Linked DNA regions of Macaca mulatta. The protein of the gene in region 4 interacts with the protein of the main gene of each other region in a pairwise test. Links are inferred from orthologs where the notes say so. Each region holds a gene or a part of one and is shown on either strand. Other genes may lie near its edges.

What was found. The genes of interacting proteins can lie anywhere in the genome.
Region 1: the proteins of CLEC7A (region 4) and TMEM79 interact in binary tests that used the Homo sapiens proteins (3 or more experiments, as listed by UniProt). The two-hybrid records come from large-scale screens. The link is inferred for Macaca mulatta from reciprocal best matches to the Homo sapiens genes CLEC7A and TMEM79.
Region 2: the proteins of CLEC7A (region 4) and BNIP3 interact in binary tests that used the Homo sapiens proteins (3 or more experiments, as listed by UniProt). The two-hybrid records come from large-scale screens. The link is inferred for Macaca mulatta from reciprocal best matches to the Homo sapiens genes CLEC7A and BNIP3.
Region 3: the proteins of CLEC7A (region 4) and BNIP3L interact in binary tests that used the Homo sapiens proteins (3 or more experiments, as listed by UniProt). The two-hybrid records come from large-scale screens. The link is inferred for Macaca mulatta from reciprocal best matches to the Homo sapiens genes CLEC7A and BNIP3L.

The regions. Positions count from the first base shown.
Region 1 is NC_133406.1:110,642,894-110,650,209, forward strand, and holds the start of TMEM79 (transmembrane protein 79), read right to left. Parts: upstream 4,082-7,316; 5' UTR 3,940-4,081; intron 2,697-3,939; 5' UTR 2,563-2,696; intron 1,772-2,562; 5' UTR 1,732-1,771; coding exon 975-1,731; intron 697-974; coding exon 483-696; intron 325-482; exon of another isoform or gene 170-324; intron 1-169. Other genes in the region: nonsense-mediated mRNA decay factor SMG5, read left to right, coding at 4,325-4,398.
Region 2 is NC_133414.1:144,069,731-144,076,833, reverse strand, and holds the start of BNIP3 (BCL2/adenovirus E1B 19 kDa protein-interacting protein 3), read left to right. Parts: upstream 1-3,022; 5' UTR 3,023-3,138; coding exon 3,139-3,184; intron 3,185-7,103. UniProt on the Homo sapiens protein: Apoptosis-inducing protein that can overcome BCL2 suppression. May play a role in repartitioning calcium between the two major intracellular calcium stores in association with BCL2.
Region 3 is NC_133413.1:28,121,940-28,129,096, forward strand, and holds the start of BNIP3L (BCL2/adenovirus E1B 19 kDa protein-interacting protein 3-like), read left to right. Parts: upstream 1-3,076; 5' UTR 3,077-3,133; coding exon 3,134-3,233; intron 3,234-7,157.
Region 4 is NC_133416.1:10,420,837-10,428,088, forward strand, and holds the start of CLEC7A (C-type lectin domain family 7 member A), read left to right. Parts: upstream 1-3,257; 5' UTR 3,258-3,406; coding exon 3,407-3,536; intron 3,537-5,627; coding exon 5,628-5,726; intron 5,727-6,770; coding exon 6,771-6,908; intron 6,909-7,252.

The DNA.
Region 1 (7,316 bases), on a different chromosome or scaffold from region 4:
GAGACAGAGTTTCACCATGTTGGCCAGGCTGGTCTCAAACTCCTGACCTCAAGTGATCTGTCACCTCGGCCTCTTAAAGTGCTGAGATTACAGGCATGAGCCACTGCACCCAGCCTTCTCTCTATTTTGAAAAAATATATCTATTTTTAAGTTGTACATTTGGTCATAGGGGGTGTTCAGCTAGAGACCAAAACAGCTACCTGACCAGATTGCCACGGGAGTGGCTGCAATGGGTGCATAGATCTAGATGACACCTGAAAGCCTTTTTGTTTGACATGGTTATATGTATCTCTGAAATCAGCTTCCATCTGCTGACCAGCTGAAGTAAGGTACAAGAGAGAAGGTGGGCTTATCTCCCCAGGGCACACATTTGGGCCAGGGTAGAATCCGGAAAGCTCCTGACCCTGATTCTCCAGACATTCAGATGCCTAGGTTCTCTAGCACCATTCCCTCTCCCATGCCCACCCCCTGCCCCAACTTACCGGGAGATGGCAAAGAGACCAGTGAGCAGAGGGAGCAGTTTGAGGGTGTCCTGGGGCAGGTAAGTGGAAAGCACGGCCAGGTTGAAGAAGTAGAGGATAAAGAGCTGGATTGACTGGGCCACATATCGCCGGTGGATCTCCACTTCCCGCCGTGGCTCCCCAAAGGGCCGAAGGGCAGAAAAGCATAACAGGCTCAGCCCGTACACCAGGATCCCTGGGTGGAGTTGGGAAACACAGGGTAGGGTCAGAACAGGCAGGGTAAGGGCGCAAGAGGCAGTAAGCTGGGGGCAGGTTCACTGTGGGCAGTGCATAGCCTCTACACAGTGGGGTGGAAGTGGTCCTGGGAGGATATGGGCATGCAGACTGGCAGGGGGTGGGAGACCCTGAGGGGCCCAGGCCAAGTGAAGGGAAACCCTCCTGCTCCCCATGGCAGGCAGGCCCTGCCCTCCTCAAGTCCACTTCCCAATCTCCCCTTTCTTCTCACAGGCTCACCCAGCACAATGGGGAAGGTGGCAAAGACCCCGCAGCGGAGTGTGTAGATCAGGCGGGAACTCATGGTGGGCAGCCGTGGGACATCAAACGGCAGGAAGGCATATGCCCCATATAGTAGGCAGGGGAAGAGGATGAGTGCAGCTCCCACGGAGGCCACAGCCCTTAGCCACTCACGGTCTCCACAGCTCCCGCAGCCCCCACAGGAATGGCCAGGCGGCCTCACCACCGCCTCAGCCCACTTGCGCTCAGTGGGGTCGGGCTGGGTGGCCCGGGGGGGCATGAAGGTTCGGCACTTGCCCTCGCCTGCCTCACAGCGCATGATAAGATCTTCTTGGGGCCGCCGCTCAATGCACTGTAGGTCAATAGGCACGAAGGCACGGGCCGCTTTCTCAGGCAGCAGGTTGGCATCGTCTTCGGGCAGCTCCTCTAGCTTGGTAAGTGGCTCTGACTCAGGGGGCTCTGGTTCAATGTCCCGCCAGCCAGGGGGATCCGGGAACGGAGCACTGGGCTGAGGGCCGGTCCCCCAGGGCAAGGTGGCAGCCTCGCTTACTGTGCTGTCTAGACCATCCTCAGCCCCCTCTATGGCTGTGGGAGACCCAGCTGAAGACCCCACTCTGACGGACTCAGCTCCTGGGGATTCGGCCCCACCTTCCCCTTCTGGCTGCCGGCCATTGGGAACCAAGGCCTGGGGTGAGCTCTTCTCTGGGGAATCCGACCTCTTCACTTCCAGCAGGGCCAGGGTCTCCTGTTCTGTCATCCTGGGGCCTCAGTTCTGGGATCTACAATGTCAAGTCATCCTGCAGGGAGCAGAGGAAAGCTCTGTCAGAAACCCCTGTCTTCTAGTTGTTAGGACAGGTTGACAGAACTCATACTCCCCAGGGCAACTGGTTTCATGGGCTTTGGCCCCTTCTGGAGCCTTAGGGAGAAACTGGTACAGAGGAAGACGTTGAAACAGAGGGAGGAGGGAAGGAAGTGAGCAGCCGAAATGGAGGCACCCTTTCGACATCAAATGCCATCCAACAGGAGAGGGTGAGTCAAGGGGCACAGGCCCTGGCAGCTGTGGCCTCAGTCAGCCTCCACCCACGCCTTCTATGCCCCTCCACCAAAACCCCTGGAGTCATGGCCACCCTAATGCAGGAACAGGAGGCAGAAGAGGTGTCTAGAACTTTGCCAAGTTTCTTTCCTACCGAGGATCTTGCTGTATGTAGACAGAGAAGCTTCCCCTCCACTGTCCCATCTCCCCTTCTCCCTGCATATCCCTGCTTGGAACCCTCCTGCATTCCAGGTGAGACCAGTGATTTGCCAACTAATCTGTCCCAAAAAGCTGGCAGTTGCAGGCACCCTCTTCCTTCATTGGTACTTGGTCAGTTCCCAAACTCCTCACTAGCCCACCTCATCCATCTCTGCAGGGCCTGGATCTGTTATTCCGGCATTTAGGTCTGATCATGACTGTTTTGTATGCCTTCTCTCCTGTCTTTCTCCCCTCCCTGCTGCCCTTCATCTCATTGCTTCTGGATGGGACTGATTCCCTTCCTTCATCTCAAGGGCCCTCCAAACCTTGTAGTTTGGACCCAGGACATCCTCTTACTTTCCATATGGAGTGGAGGGTCCCCAGCGTCCATCCGTCTGTCCGTCTGTCCGGGAAGGAGCTGCCCAGCTACCTGCTGGCTCTGCAAGTATTTCTCTCTGTCTCCCTCCCTTTACCTGTGTCTCAAAACCTGTCTGACCAGAGCAGGTGGGGCCCAGATTAAAGGGGCAGGCCCCGCCCTGCTGAATCTGCCGACAAAAAAAGCATTAGAGGAGGATGTCGTCATTCTTTCCGAAAGTTGGGATGCAGCTGGGCAAAGAGGTAAGTTCACATTCTAGGCAACTGGAATGTGTAGGAGCTCCCAGCTCAGGAAAGCAGAGGGAGAAAAGTGGATTTGTGCACCAAAGGGTGCTCGGAGTAGGCTGGGATACCCAGAGATGGAATTTGTACACTTATTCATTCAGTAAATATTTACTGGTCACCATTATTAGCTAGGAACTATTCTAGGCAGACACAGAGGAGAACAAGATGACAGTCAAGGTCTCTGCCCTTGAGAAGCTTATGTTCTATTGGGGTAACAGATAATGAAGAAGCCTAGCAACTAAATCAATTAGACAATTTTTATAGGAAAGACCTCTTTGGTAAGGTAATATTTGAGCTGAAACCTGATGGGAAATCAGGAGTATGAGTGTTACAGGCAGAGGAACAGCAAGTGAAAGACCAATGGATGGGAAAGACTTAGGCTGTTTCAGGAACAGAAAGAAGATGGGTGGCTGAAGCCAAGAGCATAGCGGTAGAAGGGCAATTTATGTTCTCATTACAATTCGTACACAGGCAAAAAACAAAACAAAACAAAACACAAAAAACAAAACAAACAAAAAAACCCCTTGCTTTTAAACTTAGGTTTAAGCTAAAACAAGACAAAGCAGTCACGCTCCTAGCTGTGAGCCCACCTGCCCTGATATCCAATGTGAGGATCAGGAGATAGAAACGTGAGGGACTAGCTTCTCATTCCTATGAGTCCTTATCCCTAAAGTCATTTGAGCTTTGTGAGGGCAGGGATAGTGTCTAGCTTGCTCACCTCTCTGTGTCTAGAATCCTGCACTGTGGCTGGAAGACAGCAGTTCAATAAATGTTACTGGGTGGTAAGAGATATGCAAGCTGGAAATCTTTGGGAGGGGAGCTGAAGGGCCAAGACGCTTGTACAAGTCATTTCTTCCAGGGCTTTACTCCTATGTGATGCTCGGCCCTTTCCAAGGAAACTTTCACATGCACTTTTTGTTTGTTTAAATTATGGGGGAAAAGGGAAAGCTGGAGTCACTCTAACCAGTAATCTGAAAGAGGCTTGGTTCAAACGGGGAGGCGGGAAAGGGGCAGAAGGATGGACCAAATGACCACTGTGGGACAAAGCAGTCACCCTCCTAGCTGTAAGCTCACCTGCCCTGATCCAGTTAAGCTTTGGCCGCCTCAGTGGGTACACTGTCAGTTCTCTGATAGCTTTGCCAATAAAGTTTTTCGCAAGGGTTTGGAGAAGCCGGAAAGAGGCCATGCTGCCCAGAGTTAGTTCTGGCAACTTCCCGGGAGGGAAAACGAGTTTCGCGAGATTTGGTAGCAGCAGGCCACTGGTCCGCAACTGTGCGGCTGCCATCGCGAGATTTGCCAGGCGGAGGAGGAGCTGTCGCGGGCAGCCGCCTCACAGCGATGGCGGCCGAGCAGGGCCGGCGGCGGCGGCGGCTGCGGCTACGGCCGGAGACGGCAGTGGTGGTGGTAGTGGTGGGTGGCGGGGGCCTGTGACCGGGAGCTGCCCCCGGACCCGGGCACCATGAGCCAAGGCCCCCCCACAGGGGAGAGCAGCGAGCCCGAAGCAAAAGTCCTCCACACTAAGCGGCTTTACCGGTGAGAGGGGCCAGGGCGTGAGAGCAGCCGCCAAGGGAAGTGGGGAGACGGCGAGGGGCGGGGCCTCCCGGGCGGGCGGGGCCCCTGTGTCGGGGTAAGGTGCAGGCGAGGAAGGAGGATGCAATTTTGGAGGCGGGGCGGGGTCCCGTAGTAACTCAGGATGGAACTGAAAGGAGGAATTGGGTGGGTGGGAGGTTTGGAGGGAAGCACGTGGAGGAATCCCCTCTGCAGTGAGCTTGCTTGGGGCGGGCACTAAGCTTTGTGGAGTTCGGGTAATAGGGTGAGAATTGAAGGCTGGAAGGGTTGGGTAGGTGAAGGTGGGGTCATAGGTGTAGAAAAACCCGGAAGGGAACGATGCTTGGAATCCTGTGGGATTTACAAGGAAGAGTCTTGGACTAAAGTCCGTAGAGCTAGGCTTAGGTCCATCCTTTGCCACTCTCTCACGATGTGACCTTGGGCCTCAGTTTCTTTATCCTTAAAAATAAAGATTTGAATTGGATGTGCTCTAAATTAGAGTCCCATACAGCTCTAATTTTGAGGAGTCTGAATGAGAAAGTCTTGGCCTGGAAGGGCCACGAACGACTTTGTGTACAGAGCGTTCTTGGGATCTGGGAGGCAATTCCGGGCACCTGGGGACTCCTGAGTCCTGCCTTCCTCCCAGCCTCATGACTGTAGTCTCTTGCCAGGCAACTTCCGTTCCTGGTTTTTGACTTCCATAATGCCACCCACGCTTCACAAGTCACATCTTCAGCCCTTCAGCCCTCTGTTAGGAACAGGCCCGAATGAGCTCTTCCCATCGAAGGTGGAGAATTTGTTGTGTAGGTCAGCTAGAACATGGGCTCCATAACTGGGTCAAAATAGGACGAAGCATGGAAACTGAGTTTTGTGCTTTCTACTACAGAGTCGAGTTTGGGGTTTTCATTTAGCTTGGGCTTTATAGAACACGGATGCTTGCATGAGAAGAAGACCCTCAGAGCCTTGGCCCCGTTTTGGCAGTGAAAGAGTCAAGAGGGCATGTTGTCTTTTCCTCTGAGTAGGCATCCTGCCTTCTCTGGCTTTGTAAGCCAGAGGCAGAGGGGACTATAGGCTACTCCAAAAATAGAAAAGTGATTCAATCTAGCGGCCCCTGGGCTCCCACTATGAGCTGCCCCAAGCAGTCCCCAGGCGGGTGAGGAGTTGGCTAGGGGCGGCACGTGTGCCTCATCATGCTGCCGAGTGTCAGTGCTGCCAGTCAGACAGCGCGTGGGCAGTGTCTGCAGTATTCCTTGTCTCTAGCATTTAGGGATGGCTCTGGTCATCCTTCCAGTTGTCGTTAAATGTAGTTCTTTCTTAAACCACTACATTCACAGGACTAACCTAAGCTGATGTGTTTGCCTATGTGGCTTACCTATGTGCACATGGGTGTAATTGTGTTGTTGACTTTGAGCAGGGTAGAAATTTGAAGCAGCCAATCACTGTTTTTATAATTTATTATAGCTGGGTGATATGTGGAAGGAACTAGGAGGAAAGTCTGATTTCTCTGCTCAAGATAAATGTGTTGCTAGACTGGACTTGTCACTCTGAGCATCAGAAATTTGGGGAACTCCCACACGTAGCTGTTTACTGATATGAAATTCTGAAATATTTTAAGTCAGAAGAAAGGGCAGCAGGAGAAAGGAGCCTGGAAGCACCAGTTAATTAGGCCAATTCATTAGTTCTTTGTTTTTAAAAACATTTTTGTTTTTGCTAGGCCCGGGAGTGAATGAAACACACGACTAGATTTTGTAGTTTTTGTCCTAAGAGAGATTATAGTTTAGTGGAGGAGCTTATGATCTGACGGAAAATGAGAAAAAAGTGGTGAGCCCTCTCATATTAAAGCATCTGCAATTAGAACTTCCCAGAGTGGTGGTGATTTACCTTCTTTTGGATTAATGATATAAAGAGAGCTATGGAGCTTTTCTATAAAAATATACACTCACATTAGCTCTTTCCATGGCACCAAAGATAAAAGCCCTGCCCTGGGAACTGAGCTGGTATAAAGTAAATCACTAGTGCTGCGCCTGGCATCAAGGGCCAGGTTGGCCAAAAGGGCTTGGCATGCATCTCTAGGCTGTCCAGTTTGAAGAAACATGATTGTTTGTGAGAAGGTATTGATTACCATCCCACCCGCTCCGCTGGGTGCTGGCGGTCACTTCACCCTGTGCAGGGCAGCTTAGTAGTATGCCTCCTGAGCCACCACCACCACAGGGTGCCAACTGTTGTGGCCCACTTTCCCCAGCCTGGGAGCACCTCTTGGTTTGTTTGGAAATCTTCGCTGTGTTTTTGTTGCTTTTGTGTCCACAGTTGTGCCTGATTCACATGTTCTTATAGCTCCTGCCTGATGTCTTCTGGGTTTTACCCTTCCAGATACAAGACCTACCTCTGGGATTTCTTGGCCATCCATTGTAGAGTTTCTGTGACTTTTTCTTTGCTGTGATGACAGACTCCCTTAGTGCCTGGAGTCTCCCCCTCAGCCTTAGGACAAGAAGGATGGAGACTAACACTTGGAGTGATTACTATATATACCAGGCACTGTTATGGGTGCTCTGTGTATTAGCTAATTTAATCCTCACAAAATAGGTAATAATATTTCCATTTTATGGTTGGGTGAAGGAACCCAACCATAAGGAAGTTAGATATTTTGCCCAAGACCACATAGCTGGTAAGAAGTAGAGGTAATATTTGAATCTAGGCGGTCTGGTTTCATGCCTCCACTCTTAACCACTATGTTCAACAAATAATTCCTTCAGCAGAATCCAGGCTTACCCGAATCCTACTTACGGCTAAGTAGTCTAGGAGCTCCCTCTACTTGCCCATCATACCCTACAATTCCGTAGTAGAATTTTATACTAGAAATGCCTTTCCTTTATGTCAGGGATAATAAGGCCTTATATAATAAT
Region 2 (7,103 bases), on a different chromosome or scaffold from region 4:
GGTTTATTTCACTGAAACAAAGATTCCCTAAAATGAAGCATGTGGATTCTTCAGTGCTTGCTGGAGAGCATTGAAGAGAGGCTTCAAGGCCAGGCACTGTGGCTTACGCCTGCAATCCTAGCACTTTGGGAGACTGAGGTGGGTGGATCACTTGAGGTCAGGAGTTAAGAGACCAGCCTGACCAACATGATGAAACCCTGTCTCTACTAAAAATACAAAAATTAGACAGATGTGGTGGTGGGCACCTGTAATCCAGGCTACTCAGGAGGCTGAGACTACAGTGACCCAAGATCACACCACTGCACTCCAGCCTGGGTGACAGAGTGAGACTCTGTCTAAAAAAAAAAAAAAAAAAAAAAAGGCTCCAGATGGGAGATGGCCTTGGGTGGGGGGAAAACAAGTACATAATTCCCAGAGGACAGTGAGATTCACCCAACAAGCTAAAGTGTGAGAGCTGATGGGTAGGGCTTTGGTGCTCCACCTTCCTGGTCAATTCCAAAGACCCCCTTTCTCGAATAAGGACTTTAGCCAAGGTATCAAAAATATATTCAGCCACTTTCATTAAAGTGGAAGTAAACCTGATCGATCCTTTAACAATATCAGACAATATCTGCTAAGGCCTGAAGCAACTAAAGGAATAAGATCCATAACAAAAGACTATTAAAAGGGTCTAATTATTCCTTGCACCAGCATGTAATACTCCAGTCCTTCCTGTAAGGAAGCCGAATGGGAAGAGCTGGTATTTTGTACAAGATTTGAGAACTGTCATTCAACACTGTGATCCCCAGACACCTGGTAGTACCAAAGCCCCATCCTCTTTTGACATCTGGAAGTGAGAGACTATGACTGACTCATGCAGTGCTTTCTTTAGTATTCCAGTGGACCCAGAGTCAGTATTTGTTTGCTTTTACTTGGGATGACTGTGAGCATATCTGGTCTATCAGGAAATATTGTTGATGAAACTGCTGCTTCCATCACAGCTCAACAAAAAGCTACTGACTCACTGGCTGAGGCTGCACTGGACAATTGCACTGCTTTCGATTATTAGCTGAGCAAGCAAGTATATGTATGGTGGCAAATACCTCTTGTGCATATACCCTTTCCATGAAGTAGAAACTCATATGGGAAAAATTAGAAGCCACTTGGCTACACTATTCTAAAGAATTCTCCATTTAATTTTCTTCATAATACTTTTGGTTGACTCCCTAGAATAGGTTCCTTTTTCCATTCTGGCACACACATTCTTTTTCATTGTAATACTTATGTGCACTGTACTTGGTAACATTTTTAATAGAGATGGGGTCTTTGTGTGTTGCCCAGGCTGGTCTTGAACTATCAGGCTCAAGTGACCCTCCTGCCTTGGCCTCCCCAAATGCTGGGATTACAGACAAGAGCCACTGCCTGGCCAGTATTACAGTTCTACTATTGAAATTACTCATGTTATGCCATTTATCTCTGGCTGTTTTACTTTTTTTTTTTTTTTGAGACAGGATCTCACACTGTTGCCCAGAATGGAGTGCAGTGGCCTAATTATGGCTCACTGTAGCCTCTACCTCCTGGGCTCAAGCAATCCTCCCACAGCGGGTGCCACCATACCCAGCTAACTTTTTTGTATTTTTTTGGTAGAGAAAGTGTTTCGCCATGTTGCCCAGACTGGTCTCCAACTCCTGGGCTCAAGCGATCCTCCCGCCTCGGCCTCCCAAAGTGCTGAGATGAAAGGCTTGTGCCCCACCTTGGCCTCTGGATGTTTGTTACTTCTCAGAAAACCAAGATCATGGCACTCCAAAGACTAGAGACGATTCAACAGGCAAGAGCAGCGATGAAAAACACGCAGCGACTGAGGTCTGGCTCCGCGGCTGTGACCTCGGTTCAGCTTCTGAGCGCCTGGTTCCTTGGCGGGAAGCGTCCTCCTTCCCCACAAAACCAGGCACGGCTGTTTGGGAAGCAGCGTTTCTGGGGCGCACCTCGATACTTGGATTTGGATCAACAATGCTTTCAAAAAGGAAGACTTTTGATCAAAAGCGGGAAATGAGAAAACTTGACTTTCCTCTGAAGACTGTGCGCCTTTTCCCGGTCCCGAGGCCGCGAGGCCCCCCTGCCAGGCTGGCTCCCACGGAAGCCCGGCACCCACCCGGCCTGGCCCAGCGCCACTCCGCCGCGTGACCCGCGGAGGCCCCAGCCCACCCCCGGGGACCGCCCGCCCCACACCGCGTTCGCCCCCCGGAAGCCCCTCGCCGCAGAGGCGGACGGCGCCTCTCCCGGGCCCCTGGGTCTGCGTCTCCCTCCGGGGACTCTTCCGACCCTGCTCGAGCCTCCGCTTCTTCCTGCGGGCGGACGCCCCAAATACAACGGGCCCCGCTGTTCACGCAGGGGCGCCCCGGCGGGGCGGGCAGAGACCCGGGGGCGCGGCCCCGTCCCGAGACGCTCAACTCCGGCCACCGCTCGCAGCTCCCTCCCCGGCGCAGGTCCCGACCCCACGGGGGACCCCACGGGCCGTCCCGACCCTACGGGCCGCAGCGGCCGCTTCCCTGCACGTCCTCACGCCCCCCGCACGGACGCTGCCAGCCCCGCGCCTCAGTTTCCCCACTCGCAGGATGTAAAGACCGGCCCCGCCCCGACGCGCAGCGCCGTCCCCGTGATAGCGAGTGCCCAGGGCGCCCACCGGCCCCACCGCCCCTTTAAAAGGACTCGGCCCACCGCCTACCGCGGCGGCGACCTCGCAGCCCACTCGTCACGAGGCCGCGGCGCCCCGCCCGTTCCGGCTCACCTCAGGCGGTCGCTGAAGCCCCAGCGCCTGCGCGCCCCTCGTCCCGCCCCTGTCCCCGCCCGCGTCCCGCGCACCGCAAGCCCCTCGCCCACCCCCCAGGACCCGCCCCGCGCACGCGCCGCACGTGCCACACGCACTCCACGCCCGTGCGCACGCGCAGGCCCCGCGTCGCGGCCAATGGGCGACGCGGCCGCAGATCCGCCTGGCCCCGCCCCGCCCTGTGAGTTCCTCCCGCCGGGCGGCGGGGCTGGGCTCAGTCCAGGAGCGCAGCTGGCCGCGGCGCTCCGCTTTCCCAGCGCCCGCAGCTGAATCGCAGTCCGCAGCCCGCAGCCCGGCGCGGATTCCCATCGCCGCAGTCGCCCTCCGGCGCCATGTCGCAGAACGGAGCGCCCGGCATGCAGGAGGAGAGCCTGCAGGGTGAGGCCGGGGAGGCGGCGCGGGAGCCAGGGGGCGCGGGGGGAAGCCTGGAGGAAGGCCAGAGGGAGGCCGAGGGGGCGCCAAGGGAGGTTGCCCGGGAGGCCTGGGGGACATCGCGGGCCGTGCGAGGCTGCGCCACCCGCCCCTCCCGTGCCCACCCCTCCTGCGGGCGTGCGGAGCCCGGGGCATGGGGACCCCACGTACTGCCCGGGGTTCGCGGCCTCGCCGCTCGGGCGGGGGTTGGCTTGGACCCGGGTCGGACCGCACGGGAAAGCCCCGATTCTCCAGCTCCGCCAAGTTGGAATTCCACCTGGAGGTGAATCTGCGTCTCGCAGTTGGTCCGAGAAGCCTCAAAGTCCACGTTGCCCTCCGCGGTCTGTAGTTCAGACCCGTATTGGTTTTAACGACCAAACACCAAGGCGTGGCCAGTGGACTGTTATGTGCTTTAATTTTGTTATTAATGTTTATATCCGTGGTGATTTAGGATTTCCTGAAGGGTGAAGGCGGAGATGGGAGGGGGTTACAGTGTTTTTAAAATATGGCATTTAATGGGCATGTTCCAGTTCTACTAGAGGGTCGTTCCAAAACAAAGCTTTAAATTACTTACGGGTTAAGAAAACACAAGCACAAGGACGCTGCCAGTGCCGCACTCAGTCGTTACAGGCTGCTTAATGCCCGAGTAGAGGCTCGCCCTGTGCCCTTGGCTAGATTCGCAAGACCATGCGTTCGCGCAGCGGGAAACGCAGGCCCGGGGTGCAGGACTTGCCCCACGCACAGCCAGGTGGCGTGGAGACCCTCCCCACCCGGAGGGTCCGCGTCAGAGTCCAGACAGCATTTGCTCAGGGAAGCGGACATTGAAGCCGCCTTCCCAGGGTCCCTAGGGCCCAAGCCTGGGAGGAGGGACCTGGTGGCAGCTGACCTTTGTGTTCTCTGAAGCCAGAGTTTACTAAGCAAAATTAGCATGTAAATAAGCTTGGGAACGGGCTGCGGAAACCTCTGACTGTGAACTTTTAATCTTCATTGAGATTTTTTAAAACCATGTATCACATAAATTCAGTGAGTTGCTAATTTTATTACAAAAAAAAATTTTACTAGGCAGGACTTAGTTACTGTAATATATTAAATATATATATATTTGAACACTACAACCATTTTTTTTTTTTTTTTTTTTTTTTTTTTTTTTTTTTTTTTAAGAGACGGGGTCTGTGTTGCCCAGGCTGGTCTGAACTGGGCTCAAGCGATCCTCCCGCCTCGGCCTCCCAAAGTGCTGGAATTAATAGGTCTGAGCCACCGCGCCTGCCCTAGAACCATATTTTTAAAAATCCTGTAATTCGGATTTTTCCTCTTGAAATTTAAACATTGGTTATTACTATTTTGGAATATATTAAGGGGTGTTTTCCTGACTTTTGTTATAAAATCCAAGGGATGTTTTTATAAACTCTTTGCCATAAAATCACCCATTTTCCGGTTGTGTTACTCCTGACATTGTGCGTTTCACTGCCTGGCTGGGGATCTGGGCGCTGGGAGGTGGAGGGGGCCCCGGGGTGGCTCAGTCCTCTCTCCAGTATGTAACTTACACAGGCTGCTGAGTCATTGGCAGTGCAAGACGGCCAGCGCCGGAGTTGCGAGATTTTTGTTTTTCTGTTTTGTTTATTCTGTAAAAGGATAGTTACCCGCGGGGTGGATCCCATGTAGGCGATTCCTTGGGCCGCCCTGAGTGTCCGCGCGTCAGGACGGGGCCACCGTGGGCTCGGCGTGGGCGGGGTTGGCCTGTCCCGCGGGCTCCAGCCGCCTGCAAATCCGGCGCGGAGCGGTGGCTCGCCCAGGCAGCGCTCACCTCTGCCCCTCTGATTTCACTGCCCCTTGTTTACCTCGGAACAGAGAACTGTGGGAGCCTTGCAGCCAGACCCACAGATGGAAGCAGCGAGCACTCTCTCTGCCTGTACCCTCTGGGGCCAGCTGCTTTTCCTGAGGAGTTGACGGCAAAATGGGCTGATTCCGTTCCTTTCTATCTCTTGATCATTCTGGCTATTGTTGTTGACCCGCAGGATGCTCGTATTCGTCCTTTTTTTCCTCTTTATTTTTTACGAGCCCAGTCTTACTTTGTCGCCCAGGCTGGAGGGCAGTAGCACAATCATTATCAAGCTCACTGCAGCCGAGAACTTGGCTTTTTCTCCTAGGCATGTCACTGCTGACATGCAGGAGAGGTAGGATTCTGTGATGAGACCGGGTCACGGTTGCTTGGCGTCACTTCCTTGAAGGACCCACTGTCTTCACCAGGAGGGCATCAGTTCAGTAAACTGCTTGCCCATTTACTCTGGAGCTTCCGTATTTAATGATCCAAGCCCTCAGCTCTTCACCTACTGCTGTGTCTGCAACTGGCAGATGGTTCTCTTGTCAGAGGCAACTCACCATGGGTAAAGTTGTAATAGGGGAAAAGATGCTTCCACTTATTTTGGAGCGGAATTGTAGCATTGTGCGCTTTGAGACCTGAAGGGGTTGCAGACATCTAGATTCTTGTCCAAGACCTGCATTTCATAGATGGTCACAATGAGGTTCTAGAGGTGGAGTGAAAGATAAGGCTGGCAACTTAAGGAGAAGCCAAGGACTCTGCATTAAGCACCAGTGGGATACCTGGAGCCCAGATGCCTGAGGCTGCGTGCCATAGGCCAGGGTCCTGGAGGAGAGCCTGGCAAGGGGGGAAGGTTGAGGGAAGTGAGCCGTTAGAAGCCAGGGACCTGATTTACCTACCGGGCTGACCTGATGCTTGAAATATTTTGTCAGGCAAGTCACTTTTGTTCCTCTCCACACTAACCTGAGAAGCTTTAAAGGTAAAAACAGCAATTTCTTAGAGCCCACCTCCTCTGGGGAAGAAGCCCTTTGTATGGTTTTGGGGGTGCTAGTTCCCTCTGGGGTTCACAGCGCCTCTGCTTAAGGCTTTTTTTCTGGGATGCTGCCTCCCTCTCTTCTGACATTTATCCCAGAGCTTTTTCAGTCTATTTTCTGGATTCCACCCCAGCATCCCAAATAGTCACTTTCAGAGTGGGCTGAGGCTGGGTTTTTGGAAAACAATGAAAAAATACCACAGGTGATTCTCCCTTCACAGCCAGAGTTGAGATTGTCATCCCAGGTTAGGGCATAGGGTGGCCTTGAGAACTTGGCCCTGTGTTTACTCCACGTGGGGCTCATGGCTGTGGCCAGTGAATCCATGTTGAAGAATGGGACCCAGGGAGTTGCCCTGGGGACATACAGAGGGCAGTGAATCGAAGGCATTCCCCGGAGTCTGTCACTGGAGAGAGAACTGCTTTGGGCACCTAGAGAAGCTGAATGTCAGATGATTTTCTTTTCTTTTCTTTTCTTTTTTTTTACATAAAGCGAGAATAAGACATGGATTAAGAACTCTTGTTGGAGTGTTTTCTGTCTCTGAGATAGACCTATCAGTTTTCTTTTTGTAATGTGATGTAAATATAGTCTAGGCTTTTCAAAATCTCATCTGCCTTGATATAGAAGGGAGGTAAGACTTACTGGCTGTGTGTCTTGTTAGCACTGTAAATTATAACTAAGTAAGGAGGGGGAGGAACCTAAGGAGAGGGAGGTAAAATGAGATTAGGAAGGAGGGCTTTTGTTGCAGCAGCCACAGCAGCACCTTTCTTTCTGGGGCCTAATTATGCTACAGTTATTTGAAGTAAACTACTTGTGATTATGAGCAGGTTTTCTAAGGTCATTAAGCAACCTCACTCCCCATCTTTCTTTGAAAAGGTGAATGATCTGAGTGGAGAACTGTAACATGTGAGTAGATACACAGCATGCTGCATTCTCCAGGAAGTGCCTTTCCTACCCCGTTGCTGTAGGTTAATAATAAAACTCCTGTCCCTTAGTAAATCATTCCTGGGAATACAGCTTTTGGGCCCAAAGTCAT
Region 3 (7,157 bases), on a different chromosome or scaffold from region 4:
TCTTTCTCAACTTCCAGAACTTCTGCTCCTGGAATGTAATCTTTAGCATCTAATTCTCCATATTACTGTACTCTTGCTTCTACAGAGGCTTCTGTAGGCTTACCCCAGAATTTCTTCTGCAGCATCTGAGGATTCAGTGTTCGGAAGAGCTGAATCAAAGTTCTACCAGACATCATTACATTCTTATTCTTGTGTGGTTTATACTGAGCCAGGCCAGGTCTTGGAGAAGCTCTTCAGTCATGGCCAGAGGACACTGAGCTGTTATCTCTTTTATAGCATTGATTCCTACTGTCATGGCTTCTCCAGAGTTCTTGTCAGTAACAAAATTGTTGGCCACAGTCATAAGCAATGATTGAATAATCGCTGGGTGTACTAGGTGATGAGATGCTTGTGCAGCAAACAAGGATCTTTGTTACTTCTCTTTGGTGGGCTGCAGAAACCTTTGCAAAAAGTGACAGAAGTTGAAGAGGAAGAGCTCATGAATTCCCACCAATCTGGAGATGAGGTTCATGAGCATCATCTTCACTACCAACCTCTCCTTACAGCATTCAAGCTGCTTTAGTAGTTTTTCTGCAAAATCTTGGGGATCATGAATCAAGTGAATAGCTAGAAGTTAAACACCTCTGGTTTTTTCTTCTTCTTTTGTTTCTTGAGCACTTTTATTGCCTTTTCCAATGTTTTCTTGTTTTGGGAACTTTTCTTCCCTATAGCATATTGTGCTAGCAGGTCTCTTGCTGTTGGTCCGTCATCCTCAGATTCGGAGTCACTGTCCTGTATTTCATCTTCATCTTTCCCAAGAAAGAATGTCATAGCAGCAACTAATATCCTGGTGACCTTAGAGAAACAGGCAGTTGTGATAACACTGACAGTTTTGGTATCATTCCAGATGTTCCTTCTGTAGTGTTCAGTCATAACATCTAAAGACATCTTGGCTGTGGTTGCATTGCTATCTCTTAACATGGTGTACATGAAATTTTGCAACACTACATCCACTTTATTCTTGTGTTTTGTGTTTGCATTCTTGATATCAGTCACGATATGTGTGTATAAAGTCTTTTGCAGAAGCTTATCATGGCAACATAGAAGTTCAAAGAAGAGCTCTGGTAGGCTTGATGGATTGATGAGATTCTTATTTCTCAGCAAGATCAAAGCTTTGCAAAACGTCATTCGAAGATCTGGATCCAATACGGTATGATTACAGGACAGAAGATCTTTCACCACTTGAGGAAAATTACTTAGATACCCTGTGTAGCAGAGACTAATCTGTAACAAAGCACAGGCTCTTCTGAAGTTTCTTTCTCTCCTATTATTCAGATGCACATATCTAGGATGTTCTGTGCCATAAACATTACCAGTTCTGCTAGTTCTTTGCTGGGTTTATTTGGTTGCAATTTGAAAATCTCCACACTGGATGTGTAGTGATTATACTGCTGTAGAAACTCCTCGATGTAGGGCGGTGGGTCTCGCTTGATCAGACTCTGTAACTGCGGCAGGTTGCTGGGCAGCTTGTTGTTGTTTCTGCTGGACATTTTGGCTGCAGACTAGCTTCACGGCAAGCAGTTTTTTAAAAACTCAGATGGCCAGCAGCCGCCAATCCCTACCAGCTGAGGCTTGAACTCCTGCTTCCAGGTATGACTGGAAACAGCACTCAATCTATTAATAGAGTTCATTTCTGACCAAAATCTTAAAATAATTTGCAAAGGGATTTGACAAATCAATCCTTAGAAAAAACCTTTTAGCATGGAATTTTTCAAATATATTTAAAAATTAGAAGAATAATGCATTACATGGCTTCAATAATTGCCAATACATGGTCAATCTTGGACAAGTCCATTTTTAAGTTCATCTGAAGAGTAACTAGTCATTAACATCTGAAAAAGACAAACGAAGAGAAACTTTAATAGTTACCTAACAGAGGTATTGTAGATAGCCCTGAAACAGACTCACAATTTTGTGGGCATTCAGAGAGTGACAAAGGTACAATTTCAAATCAGGGTAGAAAGGATGGCTTAAAATTAATATTATTGGGTCAATGGGCTACAAAATTGAGAATTGAATTTAAATCATTTACAGCATATGGAAAATAAATTTCGGATGGATTAGAGCTCTGAATGTAAATTTAAGCCTATAAGAAAATTAGAAAAAGTTATAAGGGAATTATAGATTAATTATTTTGGTGCGAAAGTCTCCCCAAGTCATGTAAGAATGATAAATCTGATTACATGAAAACCTTACGCTTCTACACAGTGAAAAAAAAATTAAAAGACAAGTCAGAGACTGAGAGAAACATATGTGACTCATAAATCAGACCAAGGAGACAGGGCGAAGACATGGAGACGTGAAGTAGGAGGTGTGCTCAGGAAAATAGTTAAATGTCATCCACGTACAGGATAAACGGCTTCCCACGTCATGTCCCAGAAATCGATTAGTCGATGGGATTTGGGTGATTGCTTTCTTCTGTTTTTCCTGAATTTTTCTCTTTTTTATTTCTTTCCCTTTCTTCTTTCTCTCTTTCTTTTTTACAATGATGGTGTGTTTGTAATCGACATTTTAAAAATTCTATAACAATTAAATTTGGGGGCGGCCTTCCCTTGTTTCCCGTATGGAGTGTTGATGTTTCAGCAGCTTTATTTGGAGTTTACAAGTGGAAGCACCTGGGTTTGGGGCTTCCTTTGTGTCCCCAAGACACCTATTGCAGGAGTGAGTCCTAAGCAGTAGAAAACAGATGCATGTGCAGGGCTGGATGAAGCACTATGGAGCCTGTGTGAGAGGAGGCACGGGCGCTAACACAGGAGCGCACTTCCTCATTCCGCTTCTTCTCATCCTCTCTCGCAGTGCCATTGTCATCACTCATCCCATCCGGTCATCCCAAGTCACACGCAAGAGTTCGTTCCCGGCGCGCGCGTCAGCTTGACTCGCGCGTCTCCACGTCCGGGACCCGCAGGGGAACGCCGCCGCCCCGTCCGGTCGCTTGTTGTGTTGTCATCACGTGGCCTGGGCGGACCCTGACGTCAGTGGCAGGGGAGGGACAGCGCAGGCGCAGAAAAGGGGGCGGGGGACTCGGCTTGTTGTGTTGCTGCCTGAGAGCCTGAGACGGTCCTGCTGCTGCCGGAGCCCTGCCAGCTGTCCGACGATGTCGTCCCACCTAGTCGAGCCGCCGCCGCCCCTGCACAACAACAACAACAACTGCGAGGAAAGTGGCCAGTCTCTGCCGCAGCCGGCCGGCCTCAATAGTGAGTGAGGGGCCGAGGGCTTGGTGAAGGGGATGGGGGAGGAGGAGCCGCCCCGGCCGCCGCCACCGGCGCGGCGCGGGAGGCGGGAGGAGAAGGCAGCTCATTGGCCCAGGCCGGTGATGTCCGGGTGACTGACAGCTCCCGTCACCTGTCAGGAGGATGGGCGCCTGCCTTGCTCCGGGCCTCTCTGTTGCCTCCTGGGGTCATGGGCCGGGGCCGTTTGGGTTCGCGGTCCGGGAGCGGCGCGGGTAGCGCGGATCCCACTGGTGCTGGGGGTGGTCCCCAGCAGCGGAGCCGGGCGGGGCGGGGGCGGGCCTGGGGGGCGGGGAGGCCAGGTGGGCGGAGCGGGCCGCGGAGGGGACGTGGGCCGGAATGGGGACGTGCGGCGGGGACGCCGGGGGATGGACGCGCGGGAGCGGGGCGGGGCGGGCGGATGCCGCGGGACGTGTCTGGGATCAGGTGTGCGGGGCCCGCGGGCGGGCAGCGTCTGGCGGGCTCGGGAGCCCCCAGCGAGCATTCCTTTGTTGCCACATGTTTGTCAGGAAAATTCATTTGCTGGTCTAGGGGCTTCAGTCACGTGTGGGGTGAGAGGCTGTGCCTTGCTTCTCCTTTTTCCTTTTTTAATTTTTTTTTATTAGCTTTCTCGAAGTTGCCCAAGTGATTTTTTTTAAGCGATGAGGTTGTGCGCCCAGTAAACCTGAGAGCAGCCTCCTGAACCACCCGGGACTGCACACGTCAGGGAGTCTGGGGCCATGCATTTAAAGAAACGGAATTAAAAACGCACTCGGGCAATTGAAAGTTAACGGGCAAGGCTGATGGACAACCCAGGCCAGGGTCTTTTCATAACATTCCACTGCCCAGACATCTTGTCCTCAGATTGTTCCTGGTCGTGAGAACCGGGAGCCTTCTTGGAAGGGTTCTTGCCTAACCTTTCTTTAATTCAACTCTTGGGAAAGAGATAATGGGGGTAGCGAGCATATGGCCAGATGAAGGCTTTTCAAAACCGCTTGGATGCTTAAAGGTCATGCAGTATCTTTCGTAAGAGGGAGATGCTTCCAGCGTGGCCTGAAGATTATTCTAGGGAAGAGAGTTTCAGCCGTCACCAGGTAGCAACGGAGTTTGGAGATTTTAAGACGGATGCTGCTGCTCCAGGTTTTTTGATGGGTTAATACCCAAAACCTTTAAGTGTCCTACATTCCAGAATGTAAGACGGTTATGTTATTTCCCACAGTAAATTAGGATGAATGTCTGAGTCATTAAACGTTACTCGTATCACATATTCCTATGCAATTTTAAGTTATTTGCCCATGTTTAGCATACTGTCTTAGGTTTGAGAATGGGAAAAACTTCAGAGCTAGCTAACTGCCTCCTGTTGTTTACCTGTAGAGAAACAGGTCTAGAGTTAAGAGCCTGGTCCAAGTTCACAACTGGCTGGGAGCAAAGCGGAGGTTGTCATGTTCAGCCTGTCTACTGCTGTTTTCAGGGAGGGCTTTTTTTTTTTTTTTTTTTTTTTGAGATGGAGTCTCGCTCTGTCTACAACCTCCACCTCCCAGGTTCAAGCGATTCTTCTGCCTCGGCCTCCTGAGTAGCTGGGACTACAGATGCTTGCCACCCGCCCAGCTAATTTTTATATTTTTAGTGGAGACGAAGTTTCGCCATGTAGTTGGGATTACAGGCGCCCGACACCAACCCAGACTAATTTTTGTATTTTCAGTAGTGAGGGGGTTGGTCTCTCACCATGTTGGCCAGGCTGGTCTCAAACTGCTGACCTCACGTGATTAGCCCGCCTGGGCCTCCCAAAGTGCTGGGATTACAGGCTTGAGCCATCACACCCGGCCTCTTTTCAGGACTTCTTTTCAGTGGTCCAGAACCTCCTGCTGGTCTGTGTGTCTTATTTTGTCAGTGTGTTATTCTACCTAATTCACAAAGGTGGCCCACCTTTCTGTTTCTTTTTAGTATTCTGTTTCTTAATTGTGCAATTTTCTTATGAGTGAAGATACTTGGTAGGTGTACATGATTTCACTGAAATCTAAGGGATTTTCATCTTCCTTTGACCCTTTAACAACAACAACAATAAGGGCTGAGCCAGGCAGGGCGTGGTGGCTCATACCTGTCATCCCAGCACTTTGGGAGGCCGAAGCGGGTGGATCACTTGAGGTCAGGAATTCGAGACCAGCCTGGCCAACATGGTGAGAGACCAACCCCCTCTCTACTGAAAATACAAAAATTAGCTGGCCTGTCGGGCGCCTGTAATCCCAGCTACTCAGGAGGCTGAGGCAGGAGAATCGCTTGAATCCGGGAGGCAGAGGTTGCAGTGAGCTGAAATCGGGCCACTGCACTCCAGCCTGGGTGACAGAACGAGACTCTGTCTCAAAAAAAAAAAAAAAAAAAAAAAGGGCTGAGCCATATGTCATTGTTTATCTTGGAGTCTGACAGACCTATGAGGAGTTTGATGTCTTTGGCCAGTCGGTTCCTGCTTGGTTGACATCAACTCTTACAGAGGTGGAAGTACTCAGCCTGCATGGGATATCAAAATGTTGCTTTGGGAAATCTAGATAGAAAATATTTTACGTGGGATAGGGTGAGCTTTCTGAAAAGCTTTTAGATAATGCCATATTTAATTACTCCCCTCTTTCCTCTTAACTCTGTTCGTTTTTTTAGCTCATTACACAACACTGCACTGAACAAAACAAGAAGCCTCATTGATTCCTTGAAGTGATTTTTGGGCATTGGGCAAAACAACTTATTCAGGCGCCTAGTACTATCCAAATTGCGATAAGTTGAAGGACTTTGTTGGGTAAAGTTGCACAACTGAAAAACAGGAGATGAAATGTACAGATTTTCTTGGGTTTGGGACTTTTTATCTTTGGTTCAGGGAACAAAGCAGAGTTTCAATGGCAAATTATTGAAATATTTGAATAATGAAGTATTTCTGTGATTTTTTTTAACTTTACCGCTGTGGAGAGACTGTTCACTTTCATTAAAAATTACAGGGCAAATACCCAAACTCCTTCCAAGTCAAAAGGATGTTGTCCAGTTTGTTTTATTGTTAAGAAAACTATCAACTTCCTTAAGAATATTTGAATAAGAGTCAATTGGTCGAATAAGGAAAATCAAAGTAGTAGTATAAGTCGTAGTGTAATTCTTGTTATTGAGAAATACAGCCTTTTTTTTCTTTTCAAATTTTTTGTTTGTTTGTTTGTTTGTGTTTTTGAGACAGGGTCTTGCTCTGTCACCCAAACTAGAGTGCAGTGGTGCAGTCATAGCTCATGGCAGCTTCGACCTCCTGGGCTTAAGTGATCCTCCTGCCTCAGTCTCCTAAGTAGCTAGGAGTGCAGGTGCACGCCCCCACACCCAGCTAATTATTTTATTTCTTGTAGAGTTGGAGTTTCACCTCGTTGCCCAGGCTGGTCACTAGCTAACTTATTTTTTGTAGAGATGGAGTTTCACTTTGTTGCCCAAGCTGGTCACAAACCTTTTTTTTTTTTTTTTTAAATAGAAACGTCTTCAAGCACGATGTCCTTGCTTTCCGGTTTATGAAGAGTGCTGTTAAGACCTTCATGTATTGTCACTGCCTCATAATGTTTTGAATACCTATGTAATTTGTGTGTAAATACATACTTCTCTGCAAAAAGACCAACTTTTTTTTTTTTTTTTTTTAAGAAGAATGCCAGTGACTCTTGTTGGCCTGGTCTGGATTCCTTTCAATAATGAATGAAAAGCTTTGAGGAAAGAATGTAAACATAATGAAATTTGAAAAGAGTTACATGTGGGCCTTTAAAAGTTAGGGGGAAAAATGAGGAGAAATACTCTTCATTCTCTCTTCCCCTTGTCCCAAAGCTCCTCTCCTCTTCTTCTTGAGAGAGGATTGAACTAGTGATTATAAAACTGTAAAGATTATGCAACATACAGCAATGAGTATAA
Region 4 (7,252 bases):
GACAGCTTCTTTTTTTTTTTTTTTTTTTTTTTTTTTTTGAGACGGAGTCTCGCTCTGTCGCCCAGGCTGGAGTGCAGTGGCGCTATCTCGGCTCACTGCAAGCTCCGCCTCCCAGGTTTACACCATTCTCCTGCCTCAGCCTCCCGAGTAGCTGGGACTACAGGCGCCCGCCACCTCGCCCGGCTAATTTTTTTGTATTTTTAGTAGAGACGGGGTTTCATTGTGTTAGCCAGGATGGTCTCGATCTCCTGACCTCGTGATCCGCCCGTCTCGGCCTCCCAAAGTGCTGGGATTACAGGCTTGAGCCACCGCGCCCGGCCAAGACAGCTTCTTATTACTGACTGCAAGGTACTCCCCTTGTTATTGTTCTCCATTTCTCCATTTCTCTATTTCTCTATTTCTATTTAGGAGGCTGACCCTTCTTCCTGGAGACAATTTATTCACTGTTTGAGAAATTCCATGGTATCCCTTTGTAGAGGTGAAAGATTCCTTTTCCTCACTTATTGCTAGGTTCATGGCACCTATAATAAAACATAGATTAACAAGAGAATAGCATCCAAATTTATTTAATAGAAGTTACCTGAACAAACAGACCTTGTTAAATTCTACTCAGCTTATTACCATTAGATTATACCCTTTTGTTCTCCAATCATACTTCTGCATAACTGTCCATAGAAATATTCAGTTTGTCCTGTGTCTTCATTTCAGAAGGTTTTCTTGTCATAAAACATTTATATGCTTTTGTTTTGTTCATCTGTCTTTTGCTGTAGGCGTCTCAGTCATGAACCTGGTGATGGGCAAGGAAAAGATATTACTTTTTCTCCCCTACATTGGACAAGGGGAGTGTGATCTAATGGTAATAAACCGGAGGGAACTTAGCAAGGCTAATTTGTTCAGATTCTTCTTGGCATCTCTGTGTCTTCAAAGATAAGGATGTTTCTTTCCTCTGGGAAAGGATACTTCTAGAATAAGGGTCTTATGATCTGCTTCAGGGCAGAAAGATGCAGAAAGGTGTGAGAGTGAACTTCCTGATCCTGCTGTTTTCTCAAATGCCAAGAATCCATATTTTGGGGCTGCGTGTCCTGAAACTCCTACGTTGCCTTCCAACCACTGCATTATAGAACTGAAAGACTGATGAATGTTGAGGTTAAGATCCACATTACCACTTTGCAACATGTCTACAAAAACTTAGTAAAACTTTCGTGGCAGCTTAAGTAAGGCGGGAAGCTCATTTATGTACTCTCCTTGAGCTCTCTTCCATTTTGATAGGTGTTAGACCGTGAGAACTGCAGAACCCTCATCATATAACAACTCCTCCCAAATCTCTGCACTAGAGACTTGGCAAACTCTAGCATGCCTTCTAGCAGCTTACGGCAAGGTCCATACGATGACTCAGCTCTACTTAAAATGCCAGCTAAGGAAGCCCAATGCTGCTAGGAGAATTTACTTTTTGTTCCAGTCAAAACTTGGTAACAGATAGGCTCCCGAATTCCTTTTAGAGCAGTTACTTTAGAAATCTTACAGTTAGACCAGGTGCGGTGGCTCACGCCTGTAATCCCAGCACTTTGGGAGGCCAAGGCGGGAGGATCACCTGAGGTCGGGAGTTCAAGAGTAGCCTGATCAACATGGAGAAATACCATCTCTACTAAAAATACAAAATTAGCCAGACGTGTTGGTGCATGTAATCCCAGCTACTCAGGAGGCTGAGGCAGGAGAATCGCTTGAACCCAGGAGGCGGAGGTTGCGGTGAGCCAAGATCATGCCATTTGCACACCAGCCTGGGCAACAACAGCAAAACTTCATCTAAAAAAGAAAAAGAAAAAGAAATCTTACCGTTAAATTCTTTCTCTGCCCTTTGAGAAGCAAATCTACCACACAGAACTCTTTCTTCAAGGACTTGGGAGCTGTTTCTTTGAAATGCAAACATTCAGGGAGATAAATCTTGCTCTTTCTTTCATATGGAGCATAAGGACCAACTGAGCTGGGTGCTTCACTTCAACTATATCACCATGTCCTTCTGTCATATAGAGAGGCGAAGTTTCTCTTCCCTCTGGATAAGGGCCAATTAACAAATCCAGAGGGTCTAGTCACATTAACCTTCCTTAACATCACTCGGTATCTTTTCCTTAGCACACTCCACTTTAAAATGTCATCGGCTTTACTTTTGGGGAAGTTGAGTTCAGTTCAACAGGAAACAGTGCAGCTGTTGCCTATTGCAATAGTATTACCGAATAAAACCTGTCCTCACCACATTAACTAGTATCCAGATTTGTTGATCTTTGACAACACACAGATGTCTCCTGCACTCTACTGGCTTCAAGATCTGGTAAATGAGTTGAACACCTCTTCAGTTTCCAGCAATGTTAGGTGTTTTCTATATTTCTTTGATTTGATCATTACTATGGAAACTGGAAGAGAGGGAAAAATAATCAAATATCTGGCATAATATTTCAGTCCCAACACCTTCCATAAGCTGTTCCTTGCAATATAAGTGTATGGAATGATGAAAGAGGCAGTGTAGCATAACAGAAAAGATCATGAGTTTTGCAGCAAGAGTCAGCTTTGATTTGATTCCTTGCTCTAAATTTTTAAAATTAGCTTCTTAAACCTGAGAAAGAGACTAAATTTTCTGTCTCATTTTTTCGTTTGAAAATAGAAATAATAATGCCTACTATACAGACTTGGAAAAGTGAGATTGAACAAGAAAACATATGCAACATGTGGTTCCTAACTCATAGTAATTGTTCAATAAATAATTGTTATTTTGTGTTATTAATATCTGATAATTCTCAAAGAGATTTGTTTTCTCTGTCTCTCTGTCTGTTGTTACAACAATGCACCTCCTCATGCCATCCCTCATTTACCTGTCTATATATTTCCTCTATTAGGCGATGTCTTTCTTCTTAGGTATCATTTTTCCTTGTATTCTAAGCTCCCGCCAATTGAAAAGGTGGATATTCAGTACCTGTTTATGTAATTTAAAAAATACATGAATACATACATGAACAAAGTTACAACAAAGTTATGGTAAACTTAGAGCACCAAAACTGTAATAGTTTGCATAGGTTAAATTAATTAATGTCAGATTTAGTTGTGAGAGTAATGAAGGCAGCATAAGACATTAATTTATGCATTTTTTCTTACATTTGGTCTGAAACAAAGACTTATCTGCTATGCTACCTTTCAGTTTTCCTGAGTCAGCAGTCTCAGAAACAGGATCTAAAGGTACAAATGGAAAATTACCACAGCATAGTTTCATTTCCTGCTCTTGAATATCTGGCTGAACTACTTAAGCTTAATTTGTTAAACCCCAGTAAGTACCTATCCCACATGATTTGACTCAGAGATTCTCTTTCCTCCACAGGCAGTCATCTCAGGAGCAGAAAGAACAGAGCTCCCAAATGCTATGTCTATTCATGGGCTCTCAAGAACAATGGACTATCATCCTGATTTAGAAAATTTGGATGAAGATGGATATACTCAATTACACTTCGACTCTCGAAGCAATACCAGGATAGCTGTTGTTTCAGAGAAAGGTATATATATATATTTTTTCTAATGTATGCCTTTAGCGCTCCCATTTGAAAAGATCCAAGGGGAGGCTGGGCACAGTGGCTCACGCCTATAATCCCAGCACTTTGGGAGGCCAAGACGGGTGGATTGACTGAGGTCAGGAGTTTGAGGCCAGCTTGGCTAATGTGGTGAAACCCCGTCTCTACTGAAAACACAAAAATTACCCAGGCATGGTGGCACACGCCTGCAGTCCCAGCTACTTGGGAGGTTGAGGCAGGAGAATCATCTGGACTCAGGAGGTGGAGGTTGCAGTGAGCCGAGATCACGCCCCTGCACTCCAGCCTGGGTAACAGAGCAAGACTCCATCTCTGAAAAAAATAAAAACAAACAAACAAACAACAAAACAAAACAAAAAGATATAAGGGGAGAAAATTTGAGAGGCTTGTGATGTGTACATTTTTATGGATATACTTTTAAAGGGCTTCAGATGTCAATGAAGATAATTTGAATGCACCCTAAACTTTTTTTCATGAAAATTATTCAGTGACTAATTATTAGTATTTAAATTAATTATGTCTGATGGCAGAAAATACAATTTCTATTTTATATAGATATAGACATTTCATCAGTGAGGAATCGGTAATAAGTGGGATAATACACAAAGATAAAGGATTTCCATATGAGTGACTTGTTGCTTGTTTGATAGAAAGGCTAGATTATTGAATGGAGGCCAGGAAACTTAAAGAAGTATATATATGAACAACATGTTTTTTTGTGGTAAGAGATTAAATTGTTTTTAAACAAAAAACAATTATTGGTATACCAGTGAAGGAAAATATATTAATATATGGTGGATAAAAACATCCCATTGGCAGGACATGAGTCTTAAACAAAAAGTAAACGAAATGAAATAGAAGGGCTTTGGAGGATCTCTGTATTCACAGAGTGGGTGATTTCGCCTACTCTATGTGACACTTCTATGAAATGTCCTGACAGCTTAGTCTCACTGGAAAGCAGAAATACATTCTGGTTATGGCAATGTTAATACAAAATTAGTTCCCTATTTTCTTTGAGAGAGAGATAGATCATTTGTTGGTTTTGACACCAGAGTTTGCTTTCTTCTGCTTTCTGATTCTTCACATTGCACAAATATTTTCCTCTCAGTACTGATGTAATTCTTTTCTTGGGCAACCTATTGAGGAAGGGTGGAAAAAGTGGGTGAGGCAAGAGGTAGGGAGACATGTGCATGTTTATGCATATGTATAGGCAAACGGTATCCTGTAACAACACACCTATAATGTGCTAGCAGTGGCTAAACGAGGTGCTTTTATACGTGTTAGCTCATTTAATTCCCACAATAATCCTTTGAGATATTATTACCCCAGTTTCATAAAGAGGAATAAAAAACAACAAAGGGAGTAATTTGCCCTGGGTCATGCAACAAACATATGAAAAGGGAAAATTACCCTTAGTAATCATTGCTCTCTTCCCAACATTAAGCTATTTCCTCTAAGAATCAGTGGGATTTCAGGGATCCTACTAATGTCGTGACCTGTAGATATCAATGTGGAGCTGAAATTAGGAGCATACAGATATCAAGGCAATGTGCTGAAATTATAATTGAAGAAGAGGTATTCTTACTAGTGGAGAAAAACACAGCGAATCCTTGATGACTAGGTAACCTAGGCAGTGATTAATAATTCACTTTAAAATTTGCCAGTATTTTTTGTTATTGTTGTTTTGTGTTCTGTTTTTTTTTTTTTAACAGGGTATCACTCTGTTGCCCATGCTGCTCTGGAATTCCTGGGCTCAAGCGATCCTCCTGCCACAGCCTCCAGAGTAGTTGGGACTACAGGAGCTCACCACCATGCCCAGCTAGTTAAATTTTTTCTTTCTTCTTTTTTTTCCTTTGGTGGGGACAGAGTCTCCCTGTGTTGCCCAGGCTGGTCTTGAGCTTCTGGCCTCAAGCAATCCTCCTACCTCTGTCTCCCTTCTGGGATTACAGGTGTGAGCCACTGTGCAAGGCCAGATTTTTGATGAACTGTAGAACTGAAGTGCCCCACCTTCTGTCATTCTCTTTCTTTATTCCATTTCTGCCCCCTCTGGCTCCTCAGGATCTTGTGTTGCATCTCCTCCTTGGCGCCTCATTGCTGTGATTTTGGGAATCCTATGCTTGGTGATACTGGTGATAGCTGTGGTCCTGGGTACCATGGGTGAGTATTTGGTGGAGAAGATCAACAACAACAATAACAACAACAGACAATTTAGTAAGCAATTATTATGTGCCAGGCACTCTTTTAAGGGCTTGACATGCATAATCTACTTTAATTTGTATGTAATCTGGTTTTGTCTGTATTGGGTTGGAGCTGTTAATGCCCATTTCACTTATAAAGGGTGTGAGAGACTGAGAGGTTATTTTTCCTTTCCAGGGTTATAAACTAGTTAGTGGTGGGACCATGATTAGAAATTTAGGCGATCTGTCTAAAAAACTCATACTCTTAACTACATTGCTCTCCTACCTCCCTTGCATAGCTGGTTTCAAAGCTGTAGAATCCAAAGGATAATAAATTAATGGAAGGAAACACATGGAGCTGAAGAAGAAAGTACAATATGGTGCTGTCTTCCTAATGAAATAAATTCACTAAATAGACATTAAGCTGTTTTTATGAGTCATACTATTTAGGGAACTTATTTCTGATCTTTAATATAAACACCTTTGCATAGACCAGAAATTTCCTGAGGCACTTGGTCTTAAGTCGGTATTTTGTAATGGATGAATTGTTTTTTAGATTTTATATCACATGCAATCTGTTGTTAAACACCTTCAGAGAGTCTTCATGACATTCCTTAATTAGTCAGATGCACTTAGTCAAGTGCATTCTATGTTATAGGTACTGGGCAGTTTCTCAAGGACCTCTCATTTTTAAGTAATAGAAGAAAGGTGAAAGATGTTGCTATTTCAAATCTGCCATGGGTCCAGTTAACTCTATGACATTTGCCTCTTGCTGCCTCCCTCGTTCTATTTCTTCTTCTCTACATTCTTATTTCTTTTTAACTATACCTCCGTTATGAAAGTTATTTATTTCTTTTCATCTATCCTATCAATCATCTTTACTTCTCCACAGCAATATATCATCTATTTATCATTAATCAATAATGTATTCTTTTATTCCAATAACATATGGGTTTCGGGATTTTCATTTTCAAACACAGAAGAATGACTTTTTTTCTGTCACTGTTATTGTTGGGATATGAAGCTATTTGGAGACCCAATTCAGGAAGAAACTCATTGGAGAATGGCTACTTTCCATCAAGAAATAAAGAGAACCACAGTCAACCCACACAATCACCTTTAGAAGAGAGTGTGACTCCTACCAAAGCTGTCAAAACCACAGGCAAGGGCATAGTTAAAGGATGGAATCTTGATTCAAGAGGGTTAATTGTTGGTGCTGAGGCCTGGGGCAGGGGTATAAGGAAAATATGCTTAGATTCAATGATTGTACATTTAAGGCAAGCACACATATTAGTATTAACTTAGTGTAATATATCCCTGTCATATATACAATAAGGTGAAATTATAAGTACTCTATGCACTTGGCTGAACGGTTCTAAATTGGACTTTATTAATTTTTAAAATCAGTAACCGATTTATCACTGGCTATGTGCTTAGATCTACAGGAGATCATATAATTTGATACAAATAAAAGAAAAGTGTTCTCTCCCCTTACAGAATTGAGAT